Schizosaccharomyces pombe: one gene and its partners. Each later gene encodes a partner of the first gene's protein in a complex. Each region holds a gene or a part of one and is shown in the gene's direction. Other genes may lie near its edges.

The links.
Region 2: nup107 (region 1) and nup132 share a complex: the UniProt entries of both Schizosaccharomyces pombe proteins name them as parts of the npc107-120 complex.
Region 3: nup107 (region 1) and seh1 share a complex: the UniProt entries of both Schizosaccharomyces pombe proteins name them as parts of the npc107-120 complex.
Region 4: nup107 (region 1) and nup120 share a complex: the UniProt entries of both Schizosaccharomyces pombe proteins name them as parts of the npc107-120 complex.

Annotation. Positions count from the first base shown.
Region 1 is NC_003423.3:438,462-443,572, reverse strand, and holds nup107 (nucleoporin Nup107), read left to right. Parts: upstream 1-1,569; 5' UTR 1,570-1,597; coding exon 1,598-1,657; intron 1,658-1,732; coding exon 1,733-1,780; intron 1,781-1,821; coding exon 1,822-1,855; intron 1,856-1,905; coding exon 1,906-2,032; intron 2,033-2,088; coding exon 2,089-2,181; intron 2,182-2,235; coding exon 2,236-2,344; intron 2,345-2,385; coding exon 2,386-4,299; 3' UTR 4,300-4,574; downstream 4,575-5,111. Other genes in the region: branched chain amino acid aminotransferase Eca39, read left to right, coding at 1-942; rhp1602 (DNA translocase Rhp16b), read left to right, coding at 4,796-5,111. UniProt on the Schizosaccharomyces pombe protein: Functions as a component of the nuclear pore complex (NPC).
Region 2 is NC_003424.3:2,775,623-2,781,596, forward strand, and holds nup132 (nucleoporin, WD repeat Nup132), read left to right. Parts: upstream 1-1,665; 5' UTR 1,666-1,748; coding exon 1,749-1,932; exon of another isoform or gene 1,933-1,988; intron 1,989-1,996; coding exon 1,997-5,301; 3' UTR 5,302-5,431; downstream 5,432-5,974. Other genes in the region: tRNA 2'-O-methyltransferase Trm13, read right to left, coding at 1-461, 513-549, 629-954; serine/threonine protein kinase (CK1 family) Cki3, read left to right, coding at 5,794-5,928. UniProt on the Schizosaccharomyces pombe protein: Functions as a component of the nuclear pore complex (NPC).
Region 3 is NC_003424.3:2,397,482-2,401,220, forward strand, and holds seh1 (GATOR2-SEACAT complex WD repeat subunit Seh1), read left to right. Parts: upstream 1-1,927; 5' UTR 1,928-1,939; coding exon 1,940-2,006; exon of another isoform or gene 2,007-2,047; coding exon 2,048-2,981; intron 2,982-3,035; coding exon 3,036-3,054; 3' UTR 3,055-3,238; downstream 3,239-3,739. Other genes in the region: glm1 (glomulin), read right to left, coding at 1-342, 398-707; nuclear import protein Nxt2, read right to left, coding at 3,479-3,586, 3,665-3,739. UniProt on the Schizosaccharomyces pombe protein: Functions as a component of the nuclear pore complex (NPC).
Region 4 is NC_003423.3:4,014,676-4,020,593, reverse strand, and holds nup120 (nucleoporin, WD repeat Nup120), read left to right. Parts: upstream 1-1,743; 5' UTR 1,744-1,826; coding exon 1,827-5,237; 3' UTR 5,238-5,368; downstream 5,369-5,918. Other genes in the region: Fe-sulfur protein Isa2, read right to left, coding at 1-285; Sre1 cleavage-activating protein Scap Scp1, read left to right, coding at 5,819-5,918. UniProt on the Schizosaccharomyces pombe protein: Functions as a component of the nuclear pore complex (NPC).

The DNA of each region.
Region 1 (5,111 bases):
TGCTTTCACCCTGCTTCCTCCGTTTTCCATTATGGTTTTGAGTGCTTTGAAGGCATGAAAGCTTTCCGTGACGAAAAGGGTGTCCCACGTCTTTTCCGTCCCATCAAGAATGCTGAGCGTATGCTTTCAACTGGTACTCGTATATCTCTTCCTTCCTTCGACCCTGCTGAGCTTGCTGAAATTATCAGAAAGTTCGTCGCTCACGAAAACCGTTGGGTCCCTGATCAGCGTGGTTACTCTTTGTACATTCGTCCTACTTTCATTGGTACTGATGAAGCCTTAGGTGTCCACCATTGTGACAACGCTATGCTTTATGTTATTGCCTCTCCCGTTGGCCCCTACTACAGCTCTGGTTTCAAGGCCGTTAAGCTTTGTTGCTCCGAAGAATCCGTTCGTGCTTGGCCTGGCGGTACTGGTCACTACAAGCTTGGTGGTAACTATGCTCCTAGTGTTTTGCCTCAAAAAGAGGCTGCCAAGAAGGGGTATGCTCAGATTCTCTGGCTTTATGGAGACGAGGACTACATTACTGAGGTTGGTACTATGAACTGCTTTACTGTTTGGATTAACAAGAATGGCGAAAAAGAAATCATTACTGCCCCTCTTGACGGTATGATCTTACCTGGTGTCACTCGTGATTCTATTTTGGAAATTTGCCGTGAACGTCTCGCACCTAAAGGCTGGAAGATTACTGAGGGCAAGTATTCCATGAAAGAGGTTGCTCAAGCTTCTAAGGAAGGTCGCCTTTTGGAAGTCTTTGGAGCTGGTACTGCTGCCCTTGTTTCCCCCGTCAAGGCTATTAACTACAAGGGTACTGAGTATGAAATTCCCATGCCTGAGGGTCAGGAAGCTGGTCCCATCACTTCTGAAATCAGCAAATGGATTTTGGATATCCAATACGGCAAGGAACCTAACAACCCTTGGAGCGTTCCTGCTTTGCCTTAAATTTAATTCTCAAAAAATACCTAACTATGTCTGTCTTTAGACATTTATGATATTAGGTGTCCATAATTATTACATATAGACCTTTCGAGGGTTAATCCCTTTTATCTTTGTTGGTTTCTCTGATTCGTGTTACTTTTCCTTTTCAATTCTTTTATTGATAACATTACAGAAGGATAGTCTTCTTGTATATAAATTTGTAAATCAATCGGAGTATTTATGAATTGTTCAATACTAGCGTAAACATCAATTAGTGTTATTCTACAGATATATTAAATTTATTCAATACACATCGTTTATTATTCATTTAGGCTAGTAAAGTGTAAAAATGTAATAGTAAATAAAATTATCTAAGCTACATGGTAAATGAGAGAAAAGTAATTGATTGGGCTCGACATTTGATCGTGGAAACAGTTAGTTCCATTCTACTAGTGTGCAGAGTTGACAAGAAAATTCATGGACTTAATAAATTTTATGTCTTTTCTCGAAATAAAGAAGTAGTAGATAAACAAATGAATATAAATATGTAAAAAAAAGAAAATAGTATGCATATAACTGAAATATAGCATTAGAATTGGTCTGTTGAAATTACATTGCTTGGATGGCTTGTTGCTGCTATAGTACGATCTTAACCCATACGAGGTTGGATTTCAAAACCATGCATCAGAATGCATTGAATAATGCTACTCTGAATGTCCTTGGACACAAAAAAAATGGAGTAAGTTAATAATAAGATTTTAACCCTTATTGTCAATTTCTACTGCTTGGAACACAGAAGTACTAACATACGAAGAGTTCTAGTATTCAAGAACTAATTGAAATGGACGAAGAAGAGGCCGAGGTTTGTTATTAAATAAATTTAACATTATTTTAACCATTTAGATGAATCAAAATGTCGTTTGCATAGGCCCAAATGGTATAAAGCTTATCACGTACAAGTAAAGTATATATCTAACTATGGTACAGAAACCGCCGTAAGCGTTGAACTTGGAGACGAATACGAAAAGTTTAATATAATCACTTCTTTAAAGAAAGACAATTTATTCTCAAAGGATGGGCTGCTATATGCATACTATGAGTTGTGTCAGGAAAAGTATGGTTACCGTTCTGTACTTTGACTTGAATGAACACTTGTATTAACATAAATAGATTTGAAAAATGTTTGAAAGAAGATGATGAAGAATGGATAGAGTTATGGGATTTAGAATCTCGTACATGGGACCTAATACAACGTCTTTACTCGTATGTTCGTTTCGCTGCCATTCGTTTAACTTGGTTTTTAACAACTTTTACTAGGTTTCGATTATCTGAACAACAAGGGCATATTCAGTCGCATGCCTTTTCGTCTCGTGCCGTTTTAGAAGAGGAATATTACTCTCAAAATCCCGAGGCATTCGAGAATAATGTACGTATTTTTTTTATTATATGTTTGTTAATATTCTATAGATCGTATTCAATTGGGCTCGTGATAATTCCTCCGATCCTCCTTCAATTGAAATTCGAGGAAACCGATGGTTTTATACAAGAGAGGATATAAAAATGAAAAACCGAGGTGGTTCTAGGTTTTCTTCCAACATCTCAGGTACGATTGTTTCCAATCTCGATCCTGATGCAGATATACGAGACGACAAACGTTTAGACGAACGAGATGATAACTTTGAACGCCAGTTTTTTCATACTGCATTCTGCTTATTTCGTTCGGGAAGCTTTGAAGAACTATTAGAGCTGTGTAGGAGAACTGGTAATCATTGGCGTTCTGCTTCACTTCAAGGAATTTTGGAGTATAGAGATAACCTCATCGACGATGTTTTGCAATCCGAGACTTCCGGTAATAAAAGAAAGGAACTCTTGCGCAGATCATGTTTAGCACTTACAAAAAATAAACGGATAGACTCTTATGAACGCGCTCTTTATGGCGCTTTATGTGGAGACTTGAACTCCGTCCTTGATGTGTGCACAACTTGGGAGGATGCGATGTGGGCTTATTATAATAGTATGACTCAGTACAATTTGGATGTTTATCTTTCTTCTAAGGCTCCTCAAACAGAAACACAATTGCCTCCAGTGGATAGTGGTTTAGGCTTAACTCCCGAATTGATTTTTAATTCGCTGAGTAACAGCTCTATTGCTTCAATCCAAGAAGAAGCATCACATCCCCTAATTAAACTTCAAACTCATATCATTTGTAATAAAATTTCGGAAATTTTGAGCTCTGCTCACATACAGTTGGAAGCAATTCGGACTGGAAATGCCCCTGAGTCTGGGGATTTGGTTACACCTCCTCTTCTTCGAATACTGACACACATAATTTTATTTTTGAAGATTTCAGGTCTTGCTGTGGATGAATATACTTCTGACTCTATTATCCAAGCGTATATTGAGTTATTGGCTAGTGCTAAAAAAGTTAACTTGGTTCCATTGTATATTCAGTACCTATCAAATCAAGTGCAGTACGAGGCTTATTCTCGATTCCTTATTCTTGTTGATGAAGAAAGTGCAAGATCAGAACAACTTCAATTAGCAAAAAAATATTCATTAGATATTAATCATGCGGCGTTACTAGCTGTTGAATATGTGTATGATGAAGTTGTCTCTGTTTCTCCCGAAGAAGTTCACACAGTATATTTAAAATCTATTGAGGAGCCAGTTGAACCATCTTATAAAAAGCTCATCTGCACCCTTGAATGGTTATTAATCACTTCACAGACAGATGAGCTGCTCCGATTTGCAAACCTTGTATATCGTTTCTTTTTAAGCATTGGCGAGCTAAATAGTGCATACGATCTTTATACACATATTCCCTCTGATGCTTTGAATACGCTAAGCTCTAGCGATGGTGAACCCGAAAACGATTCTAAGTTTAGAGATGCGTATGAACTGATGAACTATCGAGCTCTCTGCAGAGCACTTAAATTTTATCAAGAATGGGAAGAGCTTTCTAAACAAGAAGTATTTGAAGATTCTGCAGTTACGAAAGCTAGCACTTCTTATAAAGTTTGGAAAAAAAAATTGAATTTTGCCTCTCGTAAATGTGTAAAGTCCTTCACAGACTTACTTCAAGCTAACTGGCTTCACCCGTCTACATTGGAGCTGAAACCAGATGATGATCCTTTGCTTTATAAAACTCTTATGACTATTCGGAATTTGTATGTGCCTGAACTAATTCTCGGTTTGCATAATGTTTATTTTAGCCTTGAGGACTATGATAGCTGTTTTGCTCTGGCTAACGAAGTTGCCAGTGAAGATTTAAAACTTTACCATTGTCTTATTAAAAGTGGCAGACTGGTTGAATATGTTTCTTATTTAGGAAAGGCCGGAGAATGTAGCCTTTCAACCCCTAATGGGCTTTTTTCTTTATAAGTGTCAATGTATAAGAGATTCAATTCGAAAACTAATAGTGATGCTGCAAATGTGGTATCATCTTCGCATTGATAACCAGTTTATCTTAATACGTTGATTTTAAAACTAAGCTGAAAAACTTCCATAACTTTTGACTATTTCTAATATAAATTTTTTTTTCCAAAAAGTTAGACTATGAACTAAATCCAGAATTGCAGACACTTTGTTGCAAACATTCTTATAAAATTGTTTGAAAGTTCGGTTAATTAGGACCATTGCGCAAGTTCTTAAATCCTATAGTCGATTTGAGCAGTCTTTACAAATTTCGACTCGAAAACTGTGTTAGTGGATATATTGTGTAGGGTTTACTTTTATACTCAAAAAAACATTAAAGTAAGCAAATAGAAATATTTGAGTTCTTGACACCAATCTTCACTTAGTAAGAACCCATCGTATACAAGCTATTTCTACTACCACTGAATGTTCACGTTCAGTGCAATTTGCTTGAGGGAGCTTGATGGAAAAAGCGTCTAAAAATAAGGAAAGTGGGGTTAAAAAAGCGAATAACTCTTTTTTACAAAATTTCGGTGTAAATACAGCAGGGAAAGAAAATGAATCTACTTCATTACCAAGGTTGCCCAAAAGCGAAGATGAATCCATCCCAAAACAATCTATAAAATCTAAGAATAAAAAGAAAACCCAACATTTTCTTTCTGATGCTTTTGAAAGCTTAAAGAGACAGGAGATAGATACAAACGAAAAGGAAGTAATCGTCTCCGCGCCTATAACTAGTAAACCAGCTCAGGTTTTTTATAGTAAAAAATTGGAACGTA
Region 2 (5,974 bases), on another chromosome or scaffold:
CCCCAATGACTTAATTGTTCTCTAGCAAAGGTTGAAAGTGTTCTCCATCGGCAATGATGATGACAACAAAGGGCAATTACAAGAGCATTAGGAGGGGAGGACTTTAAGCAATTCAAGGTAAGGTCTGTGGCAGCACCACATAAATGCTTAGAATATGCAAATACAGGTTTACCACTATTCCGAAATTCACTAGCAAAAAAATCGAGTTTCAAATCCTTAATATCAATTTTACACCTTATAATTTTTGGCTCAGGCCAGTTATTTTTGATGCTATCTTTTAATATCCTGCTATCATGCTTCGTTCGATTTGAATCACGATCAATAAGTATATATACGTTTTCTTGTTGGGAGCAGTGCTGAACATATCTTGATAACTCGGCTCTTCCAGCACCGAATTCGTAATATATAGATCCTTGGTTGTCAAAATAATGTAGTTTTTCCATATGTCCTAACAATGATGCCTAAAATGGTTAATGCTTTTGACTGCCGTTAAGAAATCATGTCGAACATACCTGCTGAATTGCATGCTTTTTTTTTGTACCCTCTTCACTGTTAAAAATGAAGTTAGTTTCTACTTTTGCAACCATCTTCTTAATAAAAAGCTAATGAGAAAGCACTTCGTACATACAGTCTTGCATTCATTGCCGGGTGAAACAACACCTTTTTTTGAGGAGTCGGTAAAGAATCACTAATTCTGTTGAACAAACAAATCCATTTTGACAACTCTTCCTTGCTTAAATCGACGATTTCAAAGGAGGAAGATTCTGAAGCATCTGTTGAAGTAGAGATATTTATGTCCTTCTTGTAATATGGATCGGTCCTTTCAACAGGACGCGCGTTACAACGCTTCAAATGATATTCTAAACGATGTCGCACAATTGTATGCTTGTGATCATATGGACAGGGGATTTGTTTTAATTCTTCCTGAGTAAAAATTTTTTTTATTCGTGCCATCAAGTTAGATAACTTTTTAACTCTTAAGTGATATTAGCCTGAATATTGATCACAAAAGTAAATCTTAAAATACAATAATTTTATTTTTCTTGTAAAATTTGGTCTTTTTCAGTCCTTCGGATAATTTACAACACTAATGAAAAATAGCTTTCCGATTCGGCAGTTCAGACACTTCAAAATAAAGTATTTTCGCGTTTTTCTCTTTATTACAGTTGTTTCCAACCCAGTCCCAAACTTTCTACTACTTTTATAGTTTTCTGTACCAGATGTGCGATTTTACGAAGAAATCTGATGTTTCCAACCATTGGCGTGCTCATAAAAAAAATTCAAATACGGAATCATGAAACATTTATATAAATTGATCATGCGTTCTAAAAAAGTAGTTTAAGCTTGACCTTGAAGAACGCAACTACTTTTTAAAAACCTCTGTTTTATACAACATTCCGGGAAAAGACAATATCCTAAGTATCACTTCCTTAAATATACCAAAGCAAAGAAATAATTAATTACAAAAGAGCAAACTGTGTTGACATTTGTGAAAAAAGTGTATATGACATATACACCGATTTTGAAATATTGATATATTGATTTTACTCTGAATTTCTTATCAGTAGCTTAACTATTTAATTCTGAGTAAAAAATAGGAGTCTAAGTAAAGTTCTTTTGATTTCAAACCCTTCTTTGTAGGAATCGTCGACATTCGTCCTTCTCAGAGCCATATTCTATCCCTAAGGGTATTAAGGAGTCAAATAGACGATAACCGCCAGTATCAGTACTGATATCGTCAAATAGTCATGAGTTCTATCCTTGGTAAAAGGAAAAATGAAGAAGTCGTATCTTTTAGCCCTTTGAAACGAATTTCTGTTGAGAAATCGCTTTTGGATAGCACTGCCTATAATAATTCATTGGATTGGCTCAGATCTAAAAATTTCAAGGTCTCGTGTCTACTTAAACATTTTAATTCTAAAATTATCAACGGTACGAAGCTTTTATTTCTTCACTGTGCGCATTACTAGGTAACTAACATCTCTATTCAATTTAGACCATCCTTTAAGTGGATCATGCTACACAGACATCGGTTATGCATTAATTAATTCCCGAAAAGCTTGCTTTATTTTGTCGTATCGTCAAAGCTTGGGAACAGCAGAACCTCCAACTATAACATTTCCGCTACCTGAAGAGGACTCAAATGGCTTTTCCGGGCAAAATGCCTTGACAGCCTTCGTCCCTTCTGATGCTTCTGACAAAGAACCTGGATTGCTGATTGTAATGCCTATCTCTGGTCGTATAGCATATTGGACTTCAATTGGGAATGCTCTCGCTCAATCTTATATATGTCCCCAGGGAATGGAAAGTTTGATAAAGTTACTCCCCAAAGAAAAATGTGAGCATTTATGTTGCTCAAACCCCATGAAGTTCATCATATCTACCAATTTTGGTCGTCTTTTTTCTGTTCAACTGCGCGATCCTGCAGGTCAACCTGACGTTTCTGTACAATTATTTGCTTCCGATATTAGTACTTTTTCTACTATTCTTCAGAAAATGAAGATTTTTAACTACCCTAGCATTCATATCATTGCTTTAAAATCCCCACCACTGTTCTCTCCATACCAACATCTTTTGTATGTCGCTGAGGCATCTGGTTTACTAGAGATATATGATTTGAAGTTGGAAAATAAGCTTGTTTCTGGTATGAATCTGTCTCCTATTTTTAAGCAGGTTTTGAGAGAAGGATGCCCCGATGCAAGCGGACTTGAGGTGTTAGACCTTACTATATGCCCCACAAACGGAAATCTAGTGAGTTTTTTAGTATGTTGGAAAAATTCTATTAATTACCGTTACATGATTATTTCTCTTGATTTTTCTGACATTTCCTCACCCTCGGTAATGAATATTCATCCATTGTATTCATTTTCTTCTAAATCTCTTGAGTCTTCAAAGCTACATTATTCATCATCAGGGAATTCTTTATTTGTGGTTTTAACAGACGCTGTTATTATAGTGCACGTCCAAGAGGATGATAAAGATATTGTATCGAGAACATCATGGGAAGAGGTTATTCGTATGAATACTAATGTCTCTGGCGGCATATTTATGTCTACTTGCTACAAATACGTTTTAGGAAAATACTCTATTCCTACGGAATCATGTTTTATAGCAACCCCTTATTCTGGTATCGCTGAAATAGAAGTTCATAGTTTGGAGCATCCTGCAAATAACGAATCTCTCGTAAAAAGCAAGTTGGAAGAAGCTGTTTTTTACTCCTTCCTTCCTGGTAATCCGATCGATTTTTCCTGCAATTACCTTCGCTCCATCAAAAAGCCTGAACTCGAAAGGATTATTGTCGATCTTGGAATGGACATCTTGAATTCAAGGTCTACTCATTTACCCCCATTATTTGCTTCTTTAATGCAGCATCTGTCCTGTAGGTTAAATTCTTTGAATAATCTTGTCCGGTATATTAGGTCTATGTCACTGGATGTTGATCGTCAAGTACTATACAAGTTGAGAGTAATGGGCGAAAAATGCAATTCTGTTAGATATTTATGGAATACTATCGATACTGAATTTAGTACTGTTAGTCATTCCCTAATTTTTCAACGCATAATTTATAGACTCACTCAAAGTGCTTCGTCGGATAACGCTTTGAGAGAGTGGTTTTTGCATAATATTGAAAGCATTGATCAACTGATAGCGCAAGCACATGAATTTTGCATAGATTCAGGTTCTCGAGTTCAAGAACTTCCATTGGAAGTTCTTGATGTAATTATGGAAGCTAATGAAGTAATTCTGGCAATTCAATCTTCGGCTTTGGCTTATCGCCGTGAGTCCCAGAAGATTTATAAGCTAAGTATTGATACCTTTGGAGAAGAGGTTCCTTGGACGTCAACGCCAGAAACTTTAGTTTTGCTGTGTCGACAGTTTGAACTTACTCGGTCAGCGCTTGTCCAGTCACATCAAGGAACCTCGGATGTGGAGAATACTTTTAAAATAAAGGATAAAGGGGTGCTAAGAAATGTCGTTTCAAATTTAGAAGTACAATTAGTGGCCTTGACAGAGGTTTGCTTTGACGCGTACTCAGAAAGGATTAGATGGATAGAACAACGTTGTGGTAAGGATGCTAGTGAAATTCAAGATGTCAAGGAAGCTTTTGCAGTTAATCGCAGATTTTGGGTTCAAACTTTATCAGATATAGGTAAAGGCAGCAGTGCCATTCGAATCGCTGAAAAATACTCAGACTATCGTTCTTTAGTAGAATTGTGCTATCAACTTTATGAGGACAATGAGCTCACGGATGCACTAAACAATTACCTTGATCTTTTTGGTATAAAATTCGCATTTATATTATATGACTATTTTGTTGAAAATGGCATGGCATTAGAGTTGCTTAATAGCGACAGGTTCAACAAATCTTATTTGAAACAATTTTTTAAATCTCGAGATTACAACCAGATTTCATGGATGCATGATATGAGGTTAGGAGACTACGATGCTGCGTCGCATAGATTGCTACAGTTGGCTACTAAACAAGAAAAGCTGGTTGATAAAAAGGAATCTGAGCTTTCATTAAGTAAATTATTTCTTTATGCAGTTCCATCCAACTCTGGAAATATCAGAGATTTGGTTTTAGTGGAACAAAAGCTTGAGCAACTACATATTCAAAAAATGGTTTCCAAAAGTGTTATGCCAGTCGTTGAACGGCTTCGTTCTCAGGGGAAAAAATACCAGCTTGTAGAAGCTGTTGTGGATGATTTGATTGGTGCCAAGGTAGCGCCTGTTATCGCTCGTCAGGTTATGCAGCGCGTAGTCAAAAAGTTCATTGCCGGACAGGTGGTTGAAGCAACTGAACTGTTGGAGTACCTCAGCTTTTCTTTATACCGTCGAGAGGACCTTGTAGAAGGTGAAGTTACCGACTATTATCTTGCTTTGCGTCTTCTTTTAACCACCAGATTAACGGACGATGCCAAGAGATTTTATGAAAATACCATTTGGAGACGAGCTGTTTTACATGACAACTGGATCCAAGTTTTGGATACCCAGGGTAAAAACGATGCAATTATAGAAACCCAATTCCGAATGTCAGCACTATATCGGACTCTAGAGGCTGTGACCATAAACGGACTTTTTCATGAAGGACTTATCCGACCTGGTTCGCTTTCTTCTTGTAAGTTTGAAGGATATGATCCTCAAAATCTCATTTCTATTTACCCACCCGCTCGCTTTGGAGATGTGACTGAAGTTACCAAAGTACTTAATCGTGAAAGCGTAAAGTTGGATCATTATCTTACAAAAACTAATTTAAATACTTGCTATATTAGTATGTGTTTAAGTTGCGATACGATTTAACCTTTATCTTAATCATACAAACCCATTAGATAATAAAAGAATTTTGGTTAGATAGGTTTCATCCGAGTCCCTTGATCATTGTCAATTTTGTTAGCTAATGAATCTAAAATAAAATTTTGTTTACCACTAACTCAAACTAGAAAGTATACCATTATATCTATTTTCAGCTTTCCAACCTTATACTACGCTAGCTTGGTATATCGGTGGAAAACCCAGTACTGCTTACTTGTCCACTACCAAGTACAGTGTTGGCTGCCTCGGATTCCTCTGAGGTTGTCAACTGTAAACGAAATAATTGAACTGTCACTTTCTTTGTGTTTTTCATGGAATCTTTGTGGATTTTAGCGGCATCTACTTCATTTTTCTACCCGTAACCATCTTTAACTTTCGAGTGCGAAAGACATCAACATTTAACAAACCGGAACGCTCTTTTAATCAAAAACATTTTAAAGAAAACTGCATTTAACATAGTGGAATATTTAAAAGACCATCATGTCAACTACTTCGTCTCACTCCAACGTCGTTGGTGTTCATTACCGCGTTGGTAAAAAGATTGGAGAAGGATCTTTTGGCATGTTATTTCAAGGTGTAAATTTAATCAATAATCAGCCAATTGCCCTAAAATTTGTATGTAATTATTTTTAGAGAGCAATCCAGATTCTCAATTTCAGTA
Region 3 (3,739 bases), on another chromosome or scaffold:
TGGCATAATTCCAAAGATCTTCATCTTTTAGTCCCAAAGGTCCCATTGTCATGACATTAGTGCCTTTTGCGGTATGCCACACGATAACATGAGGAGGGTCATTTGTATTACTAAGTTCCCATAAGTATGACAGTATGCTTTTTATTTTCTTTTGGATATCGGGGTCATGGACAGTAAAAATTGAGCATTTGCCAAGTTTTCTTCTCCATATACTAAATAAGCAAAGAACTTTGTATTTATCTTCTCCAGATATGTGTATAAGGGGACTCAAGCCCATGCTATCAAAAATTAAATATTGGCTCCATGCTTCATGAATTGAATCTTTTCCTTTAAAATTATGAACTACAGCTGTTAAAATTTAAGAAAACAAAGTGTCATTATCCTATTTTTGACGCACCGTTTGATTGTTTATCATTATTCCTTATAAACACCTTAATTTCCACATTGTTACATTTAGAACCCTTTAGTAATGAAAACTTTCTGTTTTTAGGTACCTTATTAGTTTTCAAACTCAAAAAATTTCGCAATGTCTTAAATAAGCCTTTGCCATCCTTATGAAAACTTTTTTTATGCCCTATTTTGCTGTCTGATACGCTTGAGTATAACGTTTTTGTATCAGATGAACCCTCCCAGTCATTATAATCATCCTCTTCAACTGTACGTAGACGATCCAAGTAGTTATCCGAGAACGGCCTGATTTGTTCCATTTCTGGCCTTGATCGAACTAACTCAGATTAGCGAGTAAGGGATAGGCTTTGTTTTTTATTTTTAGAAAAGGGTCGTTTTACAATACTCAATATAATCAAAATTCCGTAGAGTCAAAATGGCATTGCCAATTGACATTCAGTGTATAAAAAATAAAAAAAATTGAAAAATTTCCCATTTAAAAGATATACTATACTTGTGGCACTGACGTGCAATTACAATCATTATTACTTGTACATGACTTGCCTATTAAGTCCTGAAGTATTGTAGTATAATAACACACATGAGACAAGAACATATTATGGGTCACAAAAGTCATTTTGAAATCTGTGATAATCTGCAAATACAAAACTGAAAAGAATTGACTGGTAGTGTCACTATTTTGTTAAACACTGACTGCATTTAATAAATAGACAAGCTTATAAATTCAAAAAACCAACACTTTAATGATATCAATGTTACTACTATCGTTTGTCTCTTTGCAAAATCAAATAAAATGTTTTTATGAATTTTTTTGCTAATTTTGATTACGGCTCCTCAGCATTTTATTGTGAAGTTCTTATTTTACAAAAAAAGTATTAACATTATATATGCATATTTTTTAATGGGGGACTAATATTTTCAAATTACCTACTTCAGTTTTGCATTAATTAAATCAATAATTTTATCAAAAGATTTTGTACCTTAAACAAAATATCAATAATACTTTTAACTATACTGAAACCATTAAAAAAAGCACATAATTTCATATTTGTAAATGAAGGTAATTAATAACTAACTATTGACTGAGGTATACATACCACTAACAACTAAATAATTTAGTAGTCCGGAAGACTATTTGTATAGTACTTGAAACTTTCATTTCATTTTTTAAACGTCAATGAACATATTAGATTATTATCGTTTTGGCTTACCAAATCACTTCAGGTGAAATAACGTCAATGTGGTATACAAATTTGTTATTACCATCTATTAAGAATGAACTGAGTGAAGATTATGTGCAGTAGATATTTGCTGACTATTTTAGTCGTTTTGTATATTCTTTACTATGATTGTCGCCTTCGATGAGTTAACTTGTCGGACCGAAAGTTAAGCATGCGAAAAGTCTTCTTTACAAAAAATTTACTTCTTTCATTTTTTCTAGACTTACCCTCTTTTTTTTTGCGCTGATACCGATAATTTACATATAAAATCTTTTGGCCCTTCTTTACTAGCTCACCTCGTCTCTACCAACATGGATGATATTTCGGCTACTACGATTCAAACAAATCACCAAGATTTAGTGAATGATGTTACATACGGTAAGGAAATATTATTTTAGATTTTGTAGCTAATTGTCAAGACTTTTATGGCCGTCGAATGGTATCATGTTCAGCTGATCAACGAGTCAAGGTTTACGATTTTAATGATGATACTGAAACATGGGCAATCACTTCTGAATGGAGGGCAGGAGATGCTAGTCTAATGAGGGTTGCTTGGGCTCATCCTTCATTTGGTCAAGTGCTAGCTGTCTGCAGTTTAGACAGAGGGGTTCGGATCTATGAGGAACAAAAAAAGAACTTTGAATCCAAGACATGGGTTGAAGTTGCAAAATTAATGGATGCTCGTAGCGCCGTATTAGACATATCATTTTGCCCTTTTCAACATGGTTGCAAATTAGCAGCAGTTTCGGCGGATGCTACTTTACGGATTTATGAGGCCATGGAACCCGGTAATTTAACGTATTGGACTTTAATGAATGAAATTGCTTTAATGCCGTCCCCTCCTTCGCGCAACGAGCAACCAGCGTTTTGTGTAAATTGGTGCCCATCACGTTGGCGAGAACAGTACATTGCTGTTGGATGCATGAATGATGCTTACATTTACAAGCAGAACTCTCATGGAAAATGGAAAAAAGTTGCTGAGTTACCCGGACATACAGATCTTATTCGTGATATTTGCTGGGCTCCGAGTATGGGCAGTAGTTATTACCTGATAGCTACTGCATGCAAAGATGGGAATGTTCGTATTTTTAAAGTTGAAACCCTTTGCGAAGAAGTATTTCAAGAGGAAGAAGATGCTGGAAATTCAATGACAGAAGACTCAAATTTCAATCTAAATTCTTTGAAGGTGGAACTCATTGGTGAATATGATAACCATAAATGTCAAGTGTGGAGATGCCGTTTTAATGTGACAGGAACTATTTTGAGCAGCTCGGGCGATGATGGGTGCGTTCGTTTATGGAAAGCGTCCTATGCAAATTTATTTAAATGCATATCTGTCGTTTCTTTAGAAAAGTAAGTTCAGAGATGCTTTCGGCCTCATGAATATATGATACTAACTTGTGACAGAAAACCTGAAAAATTGTGATTTACTTAGTTCAATTTTAATGTAACAGATACATTGAATGGCCGACCTTGCTTGGTTTCCTTTCTTAAATTATTTCATATTTACCAGCTAGATCATAACCAAATTGTAAAAAAGGAGATATTACTTTATAAATTTTTGGTTTTAATTTATAATTTTAGACAAGTGAACTAACATTCGCTTTGAGATTAAATTTTCATTTAGCGTAAAACTTCGAAATTAGACTAAGTCTTAATGTAAACTTTTAGGTAGAGTTCAATTCGAAAATTTGTTTTAACGAACTAAACAAGCGATGGGTTCAAAAAGCTATATCTGCTACAGGTTGTAGTTTGAAAATCCGGTAATCGCTACAAAAGCATAAAAAAAAAGAAAATGAAATTGCAGATAATCAAGATACTTGTATTAAATATTTTCACTATGATATTCTTCAACCATAGTTCAAACGAAACAGGTCATTTAAGACATAGTAGTTACCATTATTGTTAACAAGGTGAAAAACTTGGCTATAGCGCTGGGCCATTTGCTCTTCATCCAACTACAAAAAGGTTAAAAAAAGAGCAAAGCAAAAAAAAAAAAAATGAATAGAATAAGTAACATCAATCTTATAACTTACCAAAAGCTCACCTGTAACCATAACGATTACGGATCCAGTAGTACCAGTAGGTTGAGCATCCAAAGTTGAGATGCG
Region 4 (5,918 bases), 3.6 Mb from region 1:
AGGGATTCCCTTCTCGTCACATTGCTCTTGAAGCGTGAATTGGTCGTTCGCAAGCTTTGAGCTATAAAATCGATTTTTGATTTTGAATTCATTATTTATTTTGGGAAATATTTCTTTCGTTAATGTATTCGATTTCGCATCAATTCTACATGATCGAGAATTTCTAAGCGATCCATGCGATAGCTGTCGAATTGCGATCACAGGATTTAAGAGTGTTTGAAAACAACGTTCTCGAAAGAAAAATGGTCCTTTAAACAATAAGTTTACTCGCGATTTCATAAGCATCACTGCAAAGTATTATAGCCACAAGTTAGGACTTTCTAACTTGTAAACATACAGTAACGTAATAGAAGTCAAATTGCCTACGCTCTGTTTCGTTAATTCAGTATATTCCAAATTGGTGCTTATGTTTATGAGATAGAGAAGTTAAGTACATAAATGAAATAGTCATAACTTGACGAGTGTGTCATAGACTAAAGTCAAATTCAGGGATTTACCTATTAGTTAACACCCAATCTCTAAGAGATTTATATCGGATAGATTGAATTCGAACTTACAAAACTCTCACACCCATAGCTAGTAGAGAATAAGGGGAATTTATCAAATATATCTAGAATTATTTAATGTTCTTTTTTACTTATGTTGTATGCTACTAAATTTTGTGATGATTTATAGTCAAAATTAATATCTTTGGATTATTTTTACCTTTTGGTACTCCTACTCCTTTAATTCTCTTTCAGTTTTAAATGAATAGATTTTTAGCTATTAGAGATAATTTCAACCCATTTGGTTAATTCTTCTTCTGGATATTTATTGTCGATCCTTTAATTCTAGCATAGACCGGTGGATCACATCCAGAAAATGTCTTTATCACAATTGATGCCATTGCTACAATCTTCTACTTTAGCTAATTCTTTATCGTGATACCAGTGTATGTACTACCGCTTAATTACTATAAAGTTGCGGGTGTTCGTACAAGCACATATCACCGCAATTGTAATATTGAATCAGGTATAAGAGATCTTGGCTATTAGACTTAGAATTGGTTGTATCTGCAATAAAAAAAATAAATTATAAATTGCATGCCAATGAACAATAATTCACCCTTGCACGTAATTAATATTTATTAAAATGTAATTTACAATTTAACGTATGGTTGAAAATATTACATGTTTTATTTACTAAGAATTTGCAAAATTTAAAAATAAACAAAACTAGAAAATTAGAAAACTATTTTATTAAAAAAGATTGAAAGGCTGTAAATTAAGACCCTAAAGATGAGTACTGTTAATTTAAATAGATTTAATCTCTTAAAACAACAGCTAAAAAGTTACAGGTATACAAAAAATAATAAAAAAAACTAACAATAATCTAAGAAAGGCTTCTGATATCTTGAAGATCTTTTACTGTTGTATGTAATTTCACAAATAAAATAGAGAATCCATTTAAGCTCTTGAGTTTTAAATGAATATTTGATTCCTTTTTTATTATTATGAATACAAAGGAATTGCTCGATTAATAAAAACTATCAAATTGTTTAGCTTTCTTCATCCACAATCAAATGATTCTATTTTATTAAGGAACTTAATCTTCAAGAAGAAAATTCAGTTTTACATTCCATCTCCCTCTACCCTAAAAAGCTAAAGAATTACAAATATACTCGTATTTACGCGTTTCTCATAAATTCGTTGTAGGACTGGCCTGTCTTACGCTAACTCGTGTAGGTCGTTGTCTACGATACTCAACCAGAACTGCCCCCTATTGTTAGCTATTTGTTTGGTATTTCTACTGGTATTACCGCTACCAGTAAAAAATAAAATCAAAATATGAATGAATTAAAGCATGCGGTAGTTCCGATAGACTTACAATCTTTTTGTCTGGAAGGAACTTTGGCGTTGTGGGTTCCAGCTCTCGAAAACGACTCGGAAGACGATTCTGAAGCTATAGAAACAGCTGATGATAATGAAAAACTTTTTAAAAAGGAATGTGTAGCATATGATGCAGGTGTTTATACCTCAAATAAAAGCAAAGGTTCACAAACTTTACGATGGAGTATATTCCAAAACAGAACACTCACTATCTTTGATGTTTCATTAAATTCTAAGAAGGAGCCTTTATCAAAATTTAATGTGAAAATTCATTTTCCATCCAACGTAATGAAGGACGGTGTAGCTTTCTCGTTCAGTGAGCATTCCGACACGACCATTATATATGCTATTACTCACGCTCGCGTTTTGTATTATATTAGATTATCTAAAACTTGGTTCCAATTACCGGACGCTCGCTTAGACGACGATTGGTGTCTTTGTTACCGACCAATATCCTTTCTGAATCAAAAACCCGATTTAATGGCCGCAATTAGCACGTCTGAAATTTGTGTAAGCTTTTTCAATGGAGGTTTAACAAAGATTATATTAAATCCAAAAGACGCTAGTCACTACGAACAGCATATTGATGATTCTAGTTATTTGTTTTCCCTAAAAAAATATCTATCACTTCAGGCATTTAAGGCAGATTACCGCTCTCCTAATACTATTATTTCAATGATTTTTTTGTCTACCTATAATGTTCTTGTGATGCTATCGCTTGACTATAAGTTAAAAGTTTTGGATTTGTCTACTAATCAATGCGTCGAAACCATTGAACTGTCACAGACTATACTTCCTCTACAATCCTTTCCTTATTTAACTTCAGATCACACCACTAATTCTTTCATCGCTCTGTATTACCCAGATAATTCTCATGGCTCTTTTTCAATTTACAAACTTAACGCAAACGCCCACTCTTTTAAATTAAATGTTGTCATCGAGAAGGGCATAATTCCTCCTTCTTTACCAGACGATGAGTTCATACCATGGATGCTTTCTGATTTTCAACTGATATCGTCAGAGGGCTCTCAATCTAAATTTTTGCTCATTATTGCTTGGAAAAGCAACTTAAATACCGTTATCCAAAAATGCAACCTTAGTCTAGATCAGGACGAGAGTTTTTCATGCGTTTGGAGTCACTCTTTGGATAGCTTTTCCCTCATAGAAAAAACCTTTTTTGACGTTCCAACAAACATGTCGTCTGGGGATATCTCAGAGATTTGGCTACAACACATTTTTGCACATAATACATCTATTGAGTCTATACAAGTTGCTCTTTTAAGCTTTCAAAACAGCTCCTCGCAAGTTTCAAAAAATAAACTGGATAAATTTGGCGCACTTACTATAAGTGAACTTAAAAATGCCGTTTTGTCGTCTATAGTTTCAACGATCCAAATAGAGCCAAATTCAGATTTAACTGGATACGATTATTATGAATATAAGCGGCTATTATATAATGAATGGGAAAGGTTTGCGAAACTTGTTGCATATCTGGATCATTTTGGAGATGAAATATTAAGTATTAACTTCGATCCTTCGAACGCTGTTACATATATCAATTATGCAAATAAAGTGGCTTTTATTAGGGATCCTTATCTCATTGAATCCTTTGACGAAGAGCCGTTGACCAAATTAATTAGTTCCCTTGAAACAGATGATCCTTCTCTAATTGAAGGTTATCAAATTCTGGATCTTGGTAGGAGTTTACATTCCTGTATGTCATTTTCTACTTTATCTGAAATTAGATACTCATTACGAGAACTAGTCCAGGATTTGCCATCTTATTCTTTATTTGATACATTGTGGGTATTTTATGACAAGCACATATATCCCAACGTCGATCCAGATTATATCAGTACTTTAATTGATACTCTAGTTTCTCTTGAAAACCCGATGCGCGACATTGATTCTCTTATCCAACGCTTAAGAAGTTTCGATATTTACAACCATTCCGCTCAATCCCCTTCCTTATTTTTGTGTGCATCGGTAGCACGGGTTTTGGACAGTATTTTGAAAAAGTTTCAAGTCTCTATTGAAGGATTTATTTTTCTACTTTCTTTGATAACTAGCCAGCAGGATTATGAGTTACAATCCAAATTTGCAGGATGTGATAAATTATTTCTTTCTTTACTAGAAGATTGGCGTCTTGTGAGTTTTCTTTTAGAGAATTCTGCACTTTTGCTAGAAAAATTTGAGGAGGAGGATGTTGATTCAACAAACTGTAATTTAAATACTATGGAAGCTTTAGCAAGTGTTAACACAGCCCTTCAGTTTTTTTCCGCTTTGAATTATTCCGAATGTTTCTCAGAAAGCCAAATTTCACCTTTACATGCTACCGTGATATCGTCTTTGTCGGCAATCTTTATAAGGGACGATACGGAAAATGATCTGGTCACTGAACTTGTAGAAAAGTTGTTTCTATTCAAACAATATAATGCATGTATGCAATTAATAGGGTGGCTTAACTCTGACCCAATTGCAGTCTACTTGAAAGCACTTATTTATCTCAAATCGAAAGAAGCTGTTAAGGCTGTCCGATGTTTCAAGACTACTTCTCTAGTCCTTTACTCACATACTTCTCAATTCGCAGTTTTACGGGAGTTTCAAGAAATTGCTGAAAAATACCACCATCAGAACCTATTATCGTGTTATTACCTTCATCTATCAAAAAAGCTGTTCGAGGAGAGTGCATATATAGATGCATTAGAATTTTCTTTATTAGCAGATGCCTCGAAAGAGACTGACGACGAAGATTTGTCTATTGCAATTACCCATGAGACTTTAAAAACCGCTTGTGCAGCAGGAAAGTTTGACGCTGCTCACGTTGCATTGATGGTTTTATCCACTACGCCTTTGAAAAAGTCATGTTTACTAGACTTTGTAAATCAATTAACGAAACAAGGTAAAATAAATCAGCTTCTAAATTATTCAATGCCAACGTTAAGACAGGACGTCGACAATTTGCTTGAGCGAAAGGCCTTTCAAATGATTAACGTTGAATCACAACCATGCTGGTATAATATTTTGTTTAGTTGGCGGTATAAACATCAAAACTATCGAGACGCAGCAGCAATTATTTATGAAAAACTGAGCCGGTATATCTCTACTACAGAATTAATTGGAAAAAAGGAGAGAACTTTTATAATAGAACATTATTTGATTGTTTTGAACACTCTGGAGTTGCTTCCGAAAGAAGATACATGGATTCTTGTGACAGACATGTCCGTGGACAAGGAACCTGACCCTAACTTTCTTCCACAAAAATTACTTACTCTAGATGCAATTGTAGCAGAATATCACTTACAGTTGAAGGATGTCGCTGTTCAAGTTACAGCTGAAATGTCATCGGCCATGAATATCGATTTATAAAGGCAACAAAGAATTATTTACGCAGCTTAACCTTCTCATTTAGAAAAATCCAGAAAAAAAGCAATATGCTTGGCAGAGTTTTAGTAATTAAATCATCTTTAGTTTCATTGAGGCGATGGGTAGCCATAAATAACTAACTTCTTTCTATAAAATTAAATTCTGAATATAAATATACTTTCGATAGCATTGGTATTTACATATCTTTAACGAATTATAATTCCGACCTTTTTGCTGCAGCTTGCCGCAGTTTGCTAATTAGTGTTGTCCGTTGGGAAATATTGTTGAGATACGGCTAGTATCGGCAGAATGTTGGAACCAACAATAATTATATATTTGAATTTTTATTTCCTTATTTTATAACATTTTTTTGAAACTTTTGGTTTCAGATTAAATAATTCTCTATTAATAATAGTGTACGGAAATTGCACGCCGTGTGCCCGAATTTAAATTTGTCGGGTCCCGAAGGAATGTACAAAACACCAAGACCTGCGAAAACTGATTCTCAGTGAATTGGGTATATCGGTCTTGTAAAGATCTAATTAATGAACGTTTACCAATGTTATTGAACTGAAAATATCGTTATGAGGATTTTTACTCTTGGAAAAGGCCGAATTTCACGAGGGTATGCTCGGCAAGTTAACCCTTCATTATTTGCCAAGTACAGCTACTGTATTGCCAATA